Danio rerio: one gene and its partners. The protein of the gene in region 3 purifies or fractionates together with the protein of the main gene of each other region. This does not show direct contact. Links are inferred from orthologs where the notes say so. Each region holds a gene or a part of one and is shown on either strand. Other genes may lie near its edges. The genes, in order: gnb1b, ddb2 and cct5.

Region 1 (3,759 bases), on a different chromosome or scaffold from region 3:
GAGTTTTGGGGGAAAAGAATGAAGGGAATGCTTGTTTCCATTTAACCATTGCTATTAGAGGAACACTTTTATCTGCAGTCAGGATTTTCCTGATATAATTGTTATTCAGTTTTTTATCCATGATAGAGAGGCCCTTAATAGTAAGCTCTGGAAGAGAGCCAGATACATGGTTATATATTTTTGTGGTTTTAATAAGGTACATTTATTTTAGGGAGATACAATGAACACATTTTTTTTTGTATTTATTCAAAGTATTTTTTTAAACCAAAAGTGTTAATAAATTCACTGTAATTATATAAGTCCCCTACACGATTTCTCAAAACAACATTAGCACTATTAACATCAACACTGTTGGACTACTTTGATAGTCATTGGCTGCGAATATGATTTAACTATTCAGAATTAGCAAACAATACTTTTCTCAAATGATTTTGTTAATATAATTATTATTATAAATCTCTAAATTTGCACTTGTGCCTATATCAAAATCTCACTTCAAACAAAGTACAGCTAAACCTATAGAGAAAAACCTGTTCTGTAGTAAATTGTGACAAAGCCTCGGTCTTCTCCATAAAGTCTTTGCTCAGGTTAATCTATTAATGGAATATGGGTTGTATAATATTTTTAAAAACGTTAAGCATTTTAAAAAGTACATCAGTGTATTCAAATCTTGCTAAATTGGCTTGGAAATGTTTCTGTCAATTCCATTCCTGCGTAAGAGCGCCGCTCGCCCGTGCGCTGCGGCGTGGGGTTTCCCAGGGCAGACTGCAGGGTTACCGCGCCCATCTCCGTCTGATGGCCGGATGAGAGGTGAACTGAACTGGAGAGAAGTGTTCCTTCAAGGAAGGCAACGGGAAGTGGCCACCGACGGACTTATTAGCTGACCAAAGTCTCCAATCGGACATTTATGAGTGCAGCTTTTCCTCGCAGTTGAGATCCCCCCTCGTACAGGCTCATTTCCCGCCCGCCGGAGCGAGTTTTGTCGCTGTGGAAGTGGACTCGGTACTTCTCCCGCTGCTAGTTAGCGAGCTAGCTCGTCTTGTTCGTTGATGCGTGGATTTGACAGCCACACCATCGTTTTTTTCGGTCAATGCCATATAAACAAAGGCCATTTACGACTGAGAACAGGTATGGAACACTATGTGCTTATTTCAAGTGTGTGGAACTGAATGTTTCGTTCTAATCGGGTGAATTTGTTGGATAAAATGCTGGTCACCATAGAGAATGAAGGGGGGTGGGGTGAGGCGCAGGTAGCGGCTAGCCGAGCGATTTACATACACAACAGTGGCAGGCAAATATGCGAAAAACGGTTGTTTTAAACAGTTATCATCGTGTGTGTTTTATTAATGTGAATTTATAGTGCATTTAATCTCTCGCTCGGTCATTATGGCGTGAACTGAGTCGGCCGACTTAACCGGAGGCCGTTTAGTGCGAGTTCGCTTGTTAGCACCCAAAAATCGGCGTTACTTCAGAATTAAACCAATTTAGGTTTGGGGGAATTCAGTAATGTGCTTGATAGGGGCATTTTAATAGCAATTAAGATTGCTTTAAATGTTAAGTTTGGGGGGTTTTGGTTGGAGGCTGGTCTGTAAGCTAACAGGCTAATTACCGGAGCTTCTGCTGGCAAAATATTCGGCTTTTCAGCTCAGCTAGGCCTTCCTCTGTGTTACAGAATCGAGGATTTTTGGTTAGGCAAATGCTGGTTTACACACTCTCGTGTACTACAAGTGAATATTGATCGAAATGCAGTCGGTAAATAAAGATTAGCCATTTATTTGTTCACCCGATCGTCTATTGCAATCTACACCATCTGGCTGTATATTACAAGCCGTCCTAGTGTGTTTTCCCCTACACACATTTACATGGAGATGGATTTATTACGAGTCAGAATGGCGTAATCCGAAATCCCGTGTGCATTTAAGCGACTTAGCTCGTGTTAATGTTTATTGCGTTAAGTGTGCGCTGCTTCTTTTAACTACTCTTTTAAACAACCTAATTGGATTTCATTAAGCCTGTGTTTAAAGGGCCTTTGCTGTTCAGGTATATAGGTGCACTGCCTCTCTTCGCGACATCTCGGTGATGCTCCGCTACGATTCTCGCTGAATTGCTTTTGCTGACGATAAAGAATAAAAGACCTGCTAGATGTGTTTTCTCCTGCGATCGTGTATCAGAGTAATGCAGCAAAGAGCTTTGCAGTTCTTCAGATACGCGAAATGAATGGAGCCGGATGGCCTTTATCATCGCTGCTGGAATATTTTAAGAACGGGCTAGCGGCTCAGTATTGAGGTCACTATTAAGGGATTGGTCGGGGAAATATAGGCTATGGGATAAATATGTTGCGCCCCCTCCTTCTTTTTTCCCCTACCGATCGAGTTTGCCTTTCTCTTCGCTGGCATTTAGATAAAGGAACACCGTTCATGAATAAATAAACGGAATCAATGAATTCTTCAATGTGGGGCCCAAGAACAAGATGGCGTCCGTAGCCTCTCTCTCCGGCTTCCCTCTCCGCACTCATATCAGCATGCCGTTCATTTAACCCGCTGAAACGCCGAAAAAAGCACCGTTTTGCTCTTAAACGAAGCTCGTTGTTTTAAAAACGATTCCAGGAACATATTTTGAAGCTAGAGTTTATCGTTTTTTTTTAAATAAAATGCTCTTTGTGTGGCACCTAAAGCTGCATAACCTCATCCTTTATGACGCGAAATGCAATTGTGAAATATCAAATAGTGTTTCGAGTCCACCGTGACGTGATCGTTCACATTTTGTTGATTTCAACTTGTGCTTCTGGTGCTATAAATGTAGACATTTCTTTGCAGTCATGCACATAAGCTCTCACAATACCCTTTTGTGTTTAGATAATGCACTTTTGTTTGATTTTATTTTAAAACAAAAGCATAATGGATGATTCATTGCATACATTGTTGTTTTTAACTCCCTCCCAGACATCCTGCTTTTTATGCACCTAAGTTGGTTCTTTGCTTATCATGTTTATTATAGTCATTGTTCATGTTTTACTCGGCAGTGTTACATTTGCTGAAGCATTACTTGTAATCCATTTGCATTATACATTGTGCAATCTGCATTGATACACATGCAGTTTTGTAATTGTGGATAACTAAAAGCATCAGATTGATTCGCAGTGGGCACCTCAGAAGCTGATATGTGTATAATTATGATGGAATAATTGAAATCTATTCAGATAATGTAATTCTGAATATCTATTTTGATTTTCAAACTAACGCCCATTTGTTTTCGCAGGTGTTTTAATGCAAGCATGTTGAGATTTGAGCATTTCCATGTAAATGTCAGCCTTGTCATGAAAAAACTAAGCTTCAACCAAAATAACGAAACTGTTTCTACATTTTTGGTGTTGGCAAATACTTTGCAGTGCTTACACTACTCAAAAATCTCTCTGTCAATGTTTTCAAACTATTATATTTGATTTAGCAAAGTCACACAAGTGGCAATTTCACATCTGCCACATCCATAACTTTCATCTCATAAATGCAAAAATCTAAGGTAAAATAAGTCATGTTTGCTCTGTAGAGGAACAACTCTTATCCTTTTAATTAGCATTGTTTCTTTTGGGTTGCTTTGTTTAATTCATAGAATTTCTATAAAGTATGTTGTATACTGCAAACTTGCAGACTTTTTTTTTCATCATCCATAATGCATGTTTACTTTCTTTATTTAAAATCTAAAATATGTTTACAGAGATTTTTTTCTGATCCCATAACTCTGTGATTCTGGAAATATAAA
Region 2 (3,659 bases), on a different chromosome or scaffold from region 3:
AGCGATTGGTCCAAATTTTAAACTTCTGTCTAGAGAGGTCATGTTTTGATCTTGATCTATTGGTCTTACGCAGTCAAGTGATGCGATTTCGCAGGTTAGAGTTTACAAAGCTTGAACTTTGCAACGCAGCAAACTGCGAAATGTGTTGCACAAGCTTGCATTTCCGGTGTGATGCATTCGTGTGCGTATGAATGTAAGTCTGTGGAGAAAGTCCAGTGTGACTGCAGCTTTAGCCTGGAAACTGATTTACAATCCCAATTTCTCATCCCACAAAACCATTTTATGGAATAATGCAGACATTGAGATATTCATTCATTGTCTTGTCGGCTTAGTGGATTACTATGTCTGATGAAATCAGCTCGTAGTTATGAGACAGGTTCCAAACTATTGTCACAGTTCTGCCTAAGAGGAAAATCTATTCTTAGTAAAGAATGCAATAAGTTTGTACATCAATTGTCCCAGTCACAAAACTCAATTACACCTAGAGGAAAGTTTTTGGGGTTCTATGATTGTTAACATTCAATGGACAAACATGGTTATTATAGCCATATAAATTCTGTATTCCTAATAAAATAAAAGAGGTGCAGAATAAAACTTTTGCACAATATTTACCCATGTAATGCACTTTTATTCTAATATTGTGTTGTTACTGAGATTTGCACTTTTTGTATGAAGACATTTGTCACTTGTTTCTTTTATGCAATGTATCATCATTGTTTTGGAATGATTTAGGTGCATATTGCTTTTCCAATGTTAATATGAGTGGTAATTTTCACCTTAACGGTTATTTGTTATTTTGAAAACCAAAACAAGTTGTTAGAAGCCACGGTAAACTTTCTTATACTTGCTGGAAAATTTTATTTCCACAAACAGAGTTTTTTTTAATCACATTTTTATAGACTTCTTATGTGAAATAGAACATTTAATGAAATCACTTAGATTAATTGATAATAAGAAATGTGATTCTGTCTCGAGTAAATATGATGAGATCTTTCATGCTACTTCAATTTTTTATGTTTTTATATTGCATTATAATAATTGCATTATATTGCATATTGCAAGTTGCATGTTTTTTTATGTAATTTTTTTGGCTTTGCTCTTAATCCTGTTTATCCAATGTGAATATTGTGTAAAAGAACTGTTATCTTTTACTGTATTCTAAGTTGTATTATACGGTTACTTGAAAGAAAATAAACAAAACTGTGCAGATCACATGTTTTTTGACCTGAACGTAGCTTTACACTGAACATATCTGAATGTAGCTTTACACATAAAGATGGTTCACAGAATTAAACTGCCTTCAGATAATTAAAAGTCATTTTTAAAATGTTCTTATGCCAACATCAAAGATTCACTTGAACGTTAAATCATCAAACAGATGCCAGTTAGATCGCTCCATGCAAATACCCTAGAGCAGATGCTAGCCAATCGGGTTTACGCAACCCTGGAAAAGCAATGTGATTGGCTGTTGTTCTCTGCGAATCATAGACGTGGACATATTTTGTAAATGAACCGTGAAGCGCGCAGACACCTTGAAGAACACACTCAGTATACATATAGTTGAAGTTAGAATGATTAGTCCCCGTTTATTATTTTCCCCAATTTCTGTTTAACGGAGAATAAACAGACATTTTTTTTACGCATTTCTAAACAATAGTTTTAATTACTCATTTCTAATCACTGATTTATTATCTTATTATCTATATTATCTTTGCCATGATGACAGTAAATAATATTTGACTAGATATTTTTCAAGACACTTTTAAACAACTTAAAGTGACATTTAAAGGCTTAACTAGGGTAATTAGGTTTACTAGGCAGGTTAGGGTAATTAGGAAAGTTATTGTAAATTGAAAATGTAAAAAATGTATAGCTTAAAGGGGCTAATAATTTTGACCTTAAAATTGCTTTAAAAAAATTAAAATGCATTTATTCTAGTCAAAATAAAACTTTCTTCAGAAGAAAAAATATTATCAGACATACTGTGAACATTTCCTGGCTCTGTTAAACATCATTTGGCAAATTTATTATTATATTAATTTCAACCATTAAACAATTACATTAAAGATTCCAACATTTGAGTGGTAGCATGGTATAGTATAAATAGTTAAAAAAAACAACAGCATGCTTACAGATATGATACCAGCTGCATTGGGGTCTCTCAGCTGGTGCACAAGTCCACCACTGTTGGCATCATAAATGTCAATAGTTCTTTTATCATTGAGTAATAGTTGATCATCTGGGTAACGGCCAGCCACAATGAGGTCATACATGGGATGCCAGGTTGCCTGAAAAAATAGAAAAATGGAGCAAAGTATAACCATGATGTCAGCAGTCCTGTAAAGAAAGAAATGCATTAAATTTCTAACCTTGATGGGAGTCAAGTGCTGAAACTGCCGATGAGGATGAATAATTATTTGATCCGGTTTAGACCAGTCGTATGAACTGTACACCCTGATCTCATTCCTCTGATCAGTAGTAAGCAACTTGGTGCTGTCTGTCGGGTTGAAGTATGCTGACAAAAATAGTTCATTTGAATGTATTAGTATTTAAAGCTACTGTACAGGTGACTTTCTCCTTTCCTCACTTTTCTGATAATATGGTCCCTTACCAGCATTGACTGGTTTTTCATGAGGCATCTCAGCGATGTAACTGTTTTTGTCTTTAATATTCCGGAGGTCCCACAGCTTGACTGTAGCATCAACAGAGGATGTTGCCATCAGCCAATCACAGCGAGGGTTGAATTCGGCATGGGTCACTTTGGCTTTGTGCAGCTTCTCTTTGAAAATCTAAATATATTTTTGGGCAAAAAAATTAAAATAATTGAAAAATATAAATCAACTCTCAACAGCTGTGTTTCCCAACCCTGTTCCTTAAGGCACACCAAAAGTACCCATTTTAACCTCTTTCTAATCAAACACACCTGAATCAACTCATCAGAACATTAGAAGAGACTCCAAAACCTGAGGTTAATGGGTCAGATAAGGGAGACATCCAAAATATGTACTGTTGGTGGGCCTCCAGGAACAGGGTAGGGAAACACTGCTCTACACAATAGTAATAAAAACCTTAAAATGTCCCTGTCCCCCCATAAACATGAAACAATATAAATAATCAAATAAATAAGAGCACAAAGAATTATCTTAATAAATAACGTGCATGTTGCCATTAAAAGTAACAATAGTTTATCTTTACAACCAAAAATCTTATCAGGGATATTTAGAAAAATAGAATAATTTGATGACATATTAAGACTTTTATGGATCCAAAATACTAAGTTACAGCATCAAAATACTAATTTCATTTGCATTTTAAATATTTTATTTTGCCACCATCCTATAAATTATTAGGCCTTGTACAAAATGTATTTTAGTATAACATCTTCAGGCCATGTCAGATCACACAATTTTTATCTTCGGATATTATAGTTACTATGTCAGATTATGTGATAATTTTTCTTGATAAAATCTTGACTTGTGGTGGGTGACCAGACTACATGTTCCTTCATGATCAGTCATTCCTTGTTGTCTACATTGAGCGTTTTGTCTAAAAGCAGTCACAAGTGTGTCTATAACTATTTTTCTTTTAATCTCAATTTCAATGTTTTTATTTCAATCTCAATAAACATTGAAGATTGCTGACAACTAATAACTACATTA
Region 3 (3,742 bases):
TCCAAAAGAAGGTTGCATAGCATATGATCATTTATGTTCAATTAACCTTTTTTTTCATTGAAATGTTTATTTATGAGCTTCGTTTTTTTAAAGGAACCTCTGTATTTACATTTTGTGATTGTGAGAAGTTCTTTTAGTTTATTACACGTATGTACTGTATGATATAATGAAACAATTTACTTTAAATATGACCTAATCTGTGTACGTTTGTAATGTAAAAAGAATCATTATAATATACAGGTGCAAACGGAAATCAAGCAACCCTGATCATGTGAATGTTGCATAAGTTTTATAAGAGATATCCAAAAAGATATCAAAACAAGCTGTAGCTTCACCAAGTCTAACTTTAAAGTCATGTAGACCTCACAAAGACACTTCAAAAACAAATGTCGGTCACAAATGTAAAACGTAAATGATGGAGAGAGAAAAAAGTCACCTTGCTTTTGCAAATAACAACACAAACAGCCTCTTCGGTCATGTAACATACTGAAATCCACACTGGTGTGCTGTCAGAAGCATGAACGGGAGGAACAGGTAATCGGAAATTACGTTACCAACGACGAGCACATGGCCTTTCTCAAATACACAAGTTGTACGTGTGCACATACACAAATCAATTTTGTAACGTCTATTTGTTAGTCAATCTGCATGAATTATAAATCTGTACCCGCACTCGCGTTATTTGTTGTCGTTATCGCGAGAATGGAATAAACCATTAATATGCTTCAATTTAAAAAAATTATTTAAAGATTCGTTAATTGCTTTTTCTCCTTCATAATTGTCTTAAATGTTTAATATTGTTATTTAATTAGGGATTAAATGGTAATGTAATGTACAAAAATGTGGATGTTTTAACATTGTCAACTTGGTTTGGTCCGTCCCTCCCCGAGATTCTTCCAGAACTAGCCGGCAGATCCGCGCGGTGAGGTGCGCAGCTAGAGGATTAAATTCTCTAGTATAACATCACTTTTCATAACTGTGCATTTCTTTGGGGTGGAAATTAAACATGTCCGCGCTTGGGACTCTCGCCTTCGATGAATATGGAAGGCCTTTCATCATCATAAAGGACCAGGACAAGAAATCTCGCTTGACTGGCCTGGAAGCACTGAAGGTAACGTTACAAAAGCTAACGGGCTAATGGGCTATAACGGAGATTTTAATCATATCTGTAATCCAGAATACCGCATTTACTGTATACTGTAGATTGATTCTTTATGAAAACGTACTTCTGCAGTCTGACATGTTAAGAATGCATTCAGTTATTGCACATTTATTTGTCTAACGTGATCAACAATGTGCGCATGTCAAGGGATGGTCCATGTGCTTCCTCTAGTCTAGTCTAAAGACGTCGAGTCATAATGCGCAATGCCTTCATTCATTCATCAGACATGTCTTCATCACATTTTATTTGTGGCAATATACTTCAGTTGAATGTTGTTAATAAATAAGTAATGATGATAGCTATCACTCTACTTCCCCCAATTGTTTGATTGCATAAAGAATTGCAAAAAGCCAAACTTTTCTAAACGGACAGGTGCATGTTTTTGTTGTGTTTTTTGGGGGCTTGCAGTGTCTTGCCTTGTTTTATAATGATAGTTTCAGTTCTATTATTTGACAAAAATCCTATAAAGAGGATTGGGTTGTTATTTGAGACACGCCTTACTAACAAATTTTTAGTTTATATATACATACATACATATACATTAAATTTATATAAGATATTCTACCAGAAATGCACATTATCTTTCCCTTAAAACCGTAAATTGCCATTCTTGCCTACCCATTTGAGCCTCCCAAGCCCAAAACCAAGCATAAGCTTGGCGTGGCATCTACTGACATCAATGTTATTTCTGTTCTCTTCAGTCTCACATTCTTGCAGCAAAAGCAGTTGCTAACACCCTGAGAACATCGCTAGGTCCAAATGGTATGTTTTTAATTTTGCATGTACTCTTCCTAGTTTATTTCATGCTGTTTTTTTTAATGCTGGTAAATGTTCTTTACAGGACTTGACAAGATGATGGTGGATAAGGATGGTGAGGTGACCGTGACCAATGATGGTGCGACGATCCTCAGCATGATGGATGTGGACCATCAGATTGCCAAGCTCATGGTTGAGCTCTCCAAGTCTCAAGATGATGAAATTGGAGATGGAACCACTGGTGTTGTTGGTGAGCTTAGCTTGATATTCTTCTTCTCCCCTTTTAAAACACAACCACAACACTAGCAAGAGCATTTTCTTTCTGTCTTTGTTTAAATGCATTGATTTGCTCGTATATAAACATGGATAAATGTACAGCCTTACAAATACATTGAAATGCACATTAGAAAAAATTTAAAAATCCTCTTTTCCAAGCTGTGTGTACATTTTATGTGCCATTACAAAAATGAGCATGTGTGCATACTGTTCTGGAGATGATATGCTATGGGAAATGACCCAGCTTATACAAAATCTAATAATAAAAGGTCCTTTTACAGATCTAAGTATGATATATATGCTTTACTTTAATATGATATATGGATGCTATTTACAATATTTATACTTTATGTACAATATACAGCTGAAGTCAGAATTATTAGTTCCCCTGAATTATTAGCCCCCCTGTTTATTTTTTTGCCCAATTTTTGTTTAACAGAGATAAAATTTCTAACACCACAATTTCTAACAAATCTCTAACACATTTCTAAACAATAGTTTTAATAACTCAATTCTAATAACGGATTTATTTTATCTTTGCCATGATGACAGTAAATAATATTATACTAGATATTTTTCAAGACACTTCTGTACAGCTTAAAGTGACATTTAAATGCTTAACTTGGTTAATTAGGTTAACTAGGCAGGTTAGGGTAATTAAGCAAGTTAGTGTATAATGATGGTTTGTTCTGTAGAGTATTAAAACAAAATATAGCTTTAAGGGGCTAATAATATTGACCTTAAAATATTTTTTTTTTAATTAAAAACTGTTTTTATCCTAGCCGAAATAAATCAAACATGACTTTCTCCAAAAGAAAAAAATATCAAACACTGAAAATTTCCTTGCTCTGTTCATCATTTAGTAAATAGAAAAAAAAAAGAAAAATTCAAAGGGGGGCTAATGATTCTGACTTCATATCTGAATATTATAGTAAAGCATATACAGTTAATCATTTCTTGTCAGGCTTCTAAAACTGCTAAACATTTTTCTAGACTGGACACTTTAATGGGGGAAAATGTTCTAAGATATAAATGTCACCCTAATTATTTTTTAATGAATTATTCTTACTTGTTTTGTGTTTACTCGTTATAGCATGAAGGACTTTAGTAATTAAATTAGTACAAGGCTAAATTGAATGTATAAGTAGGTGTATGTAGGTTTATACGCAAGACGTACTGTTTTGCTGTTTGAATTAAATTGTCAAGTAATTGATAAAAACCACTGGTGAAATAATATTGTAATCTTACTCCATATAGTGGAGAATGAAAAAATCATATTTAATGTTTTGTTTTCTCTTATTGCTGCATGTAGTTGTCAATATGTAATATGTTACTTTTATTACTGTTACTGATGTGACAAGAAATAAATCTTAAATAATGGTAAAAAAAAAAAAATAAAAACAATAAAATTGAGCAGGGTACATTTAAATGTAGAGAGAAAGAACAATTTAAAGCTGTATCACACTTTTACTATTGTAATGCTTGACATGTTGATTTCATGCAGGCCTACCTGTAGGCTATAGTTCATATTCCTAAATGTAAAAAGTG

The links.
Region 1: the proteins of cct5 (region 3) and gnb1b purify together in Homo sapiens (co-immunoprecipitation; 3 studies listed by BioGRID and IntAct, with this or other methods). This does not show direct contact. The link is inferred for Danio rerio from reciprocal best matches to the Homo sapiens genes CCT5 and GNB1.
Region 2: the proteins of cct5 (region 3) and ddb2 purify together in Homo sapiens (co-immunoprecipitation; 3 studies listed by BioGRID and IntAct, with this or other methods). This does not show direct contact. The link is inferred for Danio rerio from reciprocal best matches to the Homo sapiens genes CCT5 and DDB2.

What each region holds. Positions count from the first base shown.
Region 1 is NC_133181.1:56,064,939-56,068,697, reverse strand, and holds the start of gnb1b (guanine nucleotide binding protein (G protein), beta polypeptide 1b), read left to right. Parts: upstream 1-849; 5' UTR 850-1,128; intron 1,129-3,759. UniProt on the Homo sapiens protein: Guanine nucleotide-binding proteins (G proteins) are involved as a modulator or transducer in various transmembrane signaling systems.
Region 2 is NC_133193.1:21,863,268-21,866,926, reverse strand, and holds part of ddb2 (DNA damage-binding protein 2), read right to left. Parts: intron 2,790-3,659; coding exon 2,612-2,789; intron 2,516-2,611; coding exon of another isoform or gene 2,498-2,515; coding exon 2,370-2,497; intron 2,289-2,369; coding exon 2,133-2,288; intron 1-2,132.
Region 3 is NC_133199.1:20,773,858-20,777,599, forward strand, and holds the start of cct5 (T-complex protein 1 subunit epsilon), read left to right. Parts: upstream 1-892; 5' UTR 893-1,006; coding exon 1,007-1,111; intron 1,112-1,863; coding exon 1,864-1,924; intron 1,925-2,003; coding exon 2,004-2,168; intron 2,169-3,742. UniProt on the Homo sapiens protein: Component of the chaperonin-containing T-complex (TRiC), a molecular chaperone complex that assists the folding of actin, tubulin and other proteins upon ATP hydrolysis.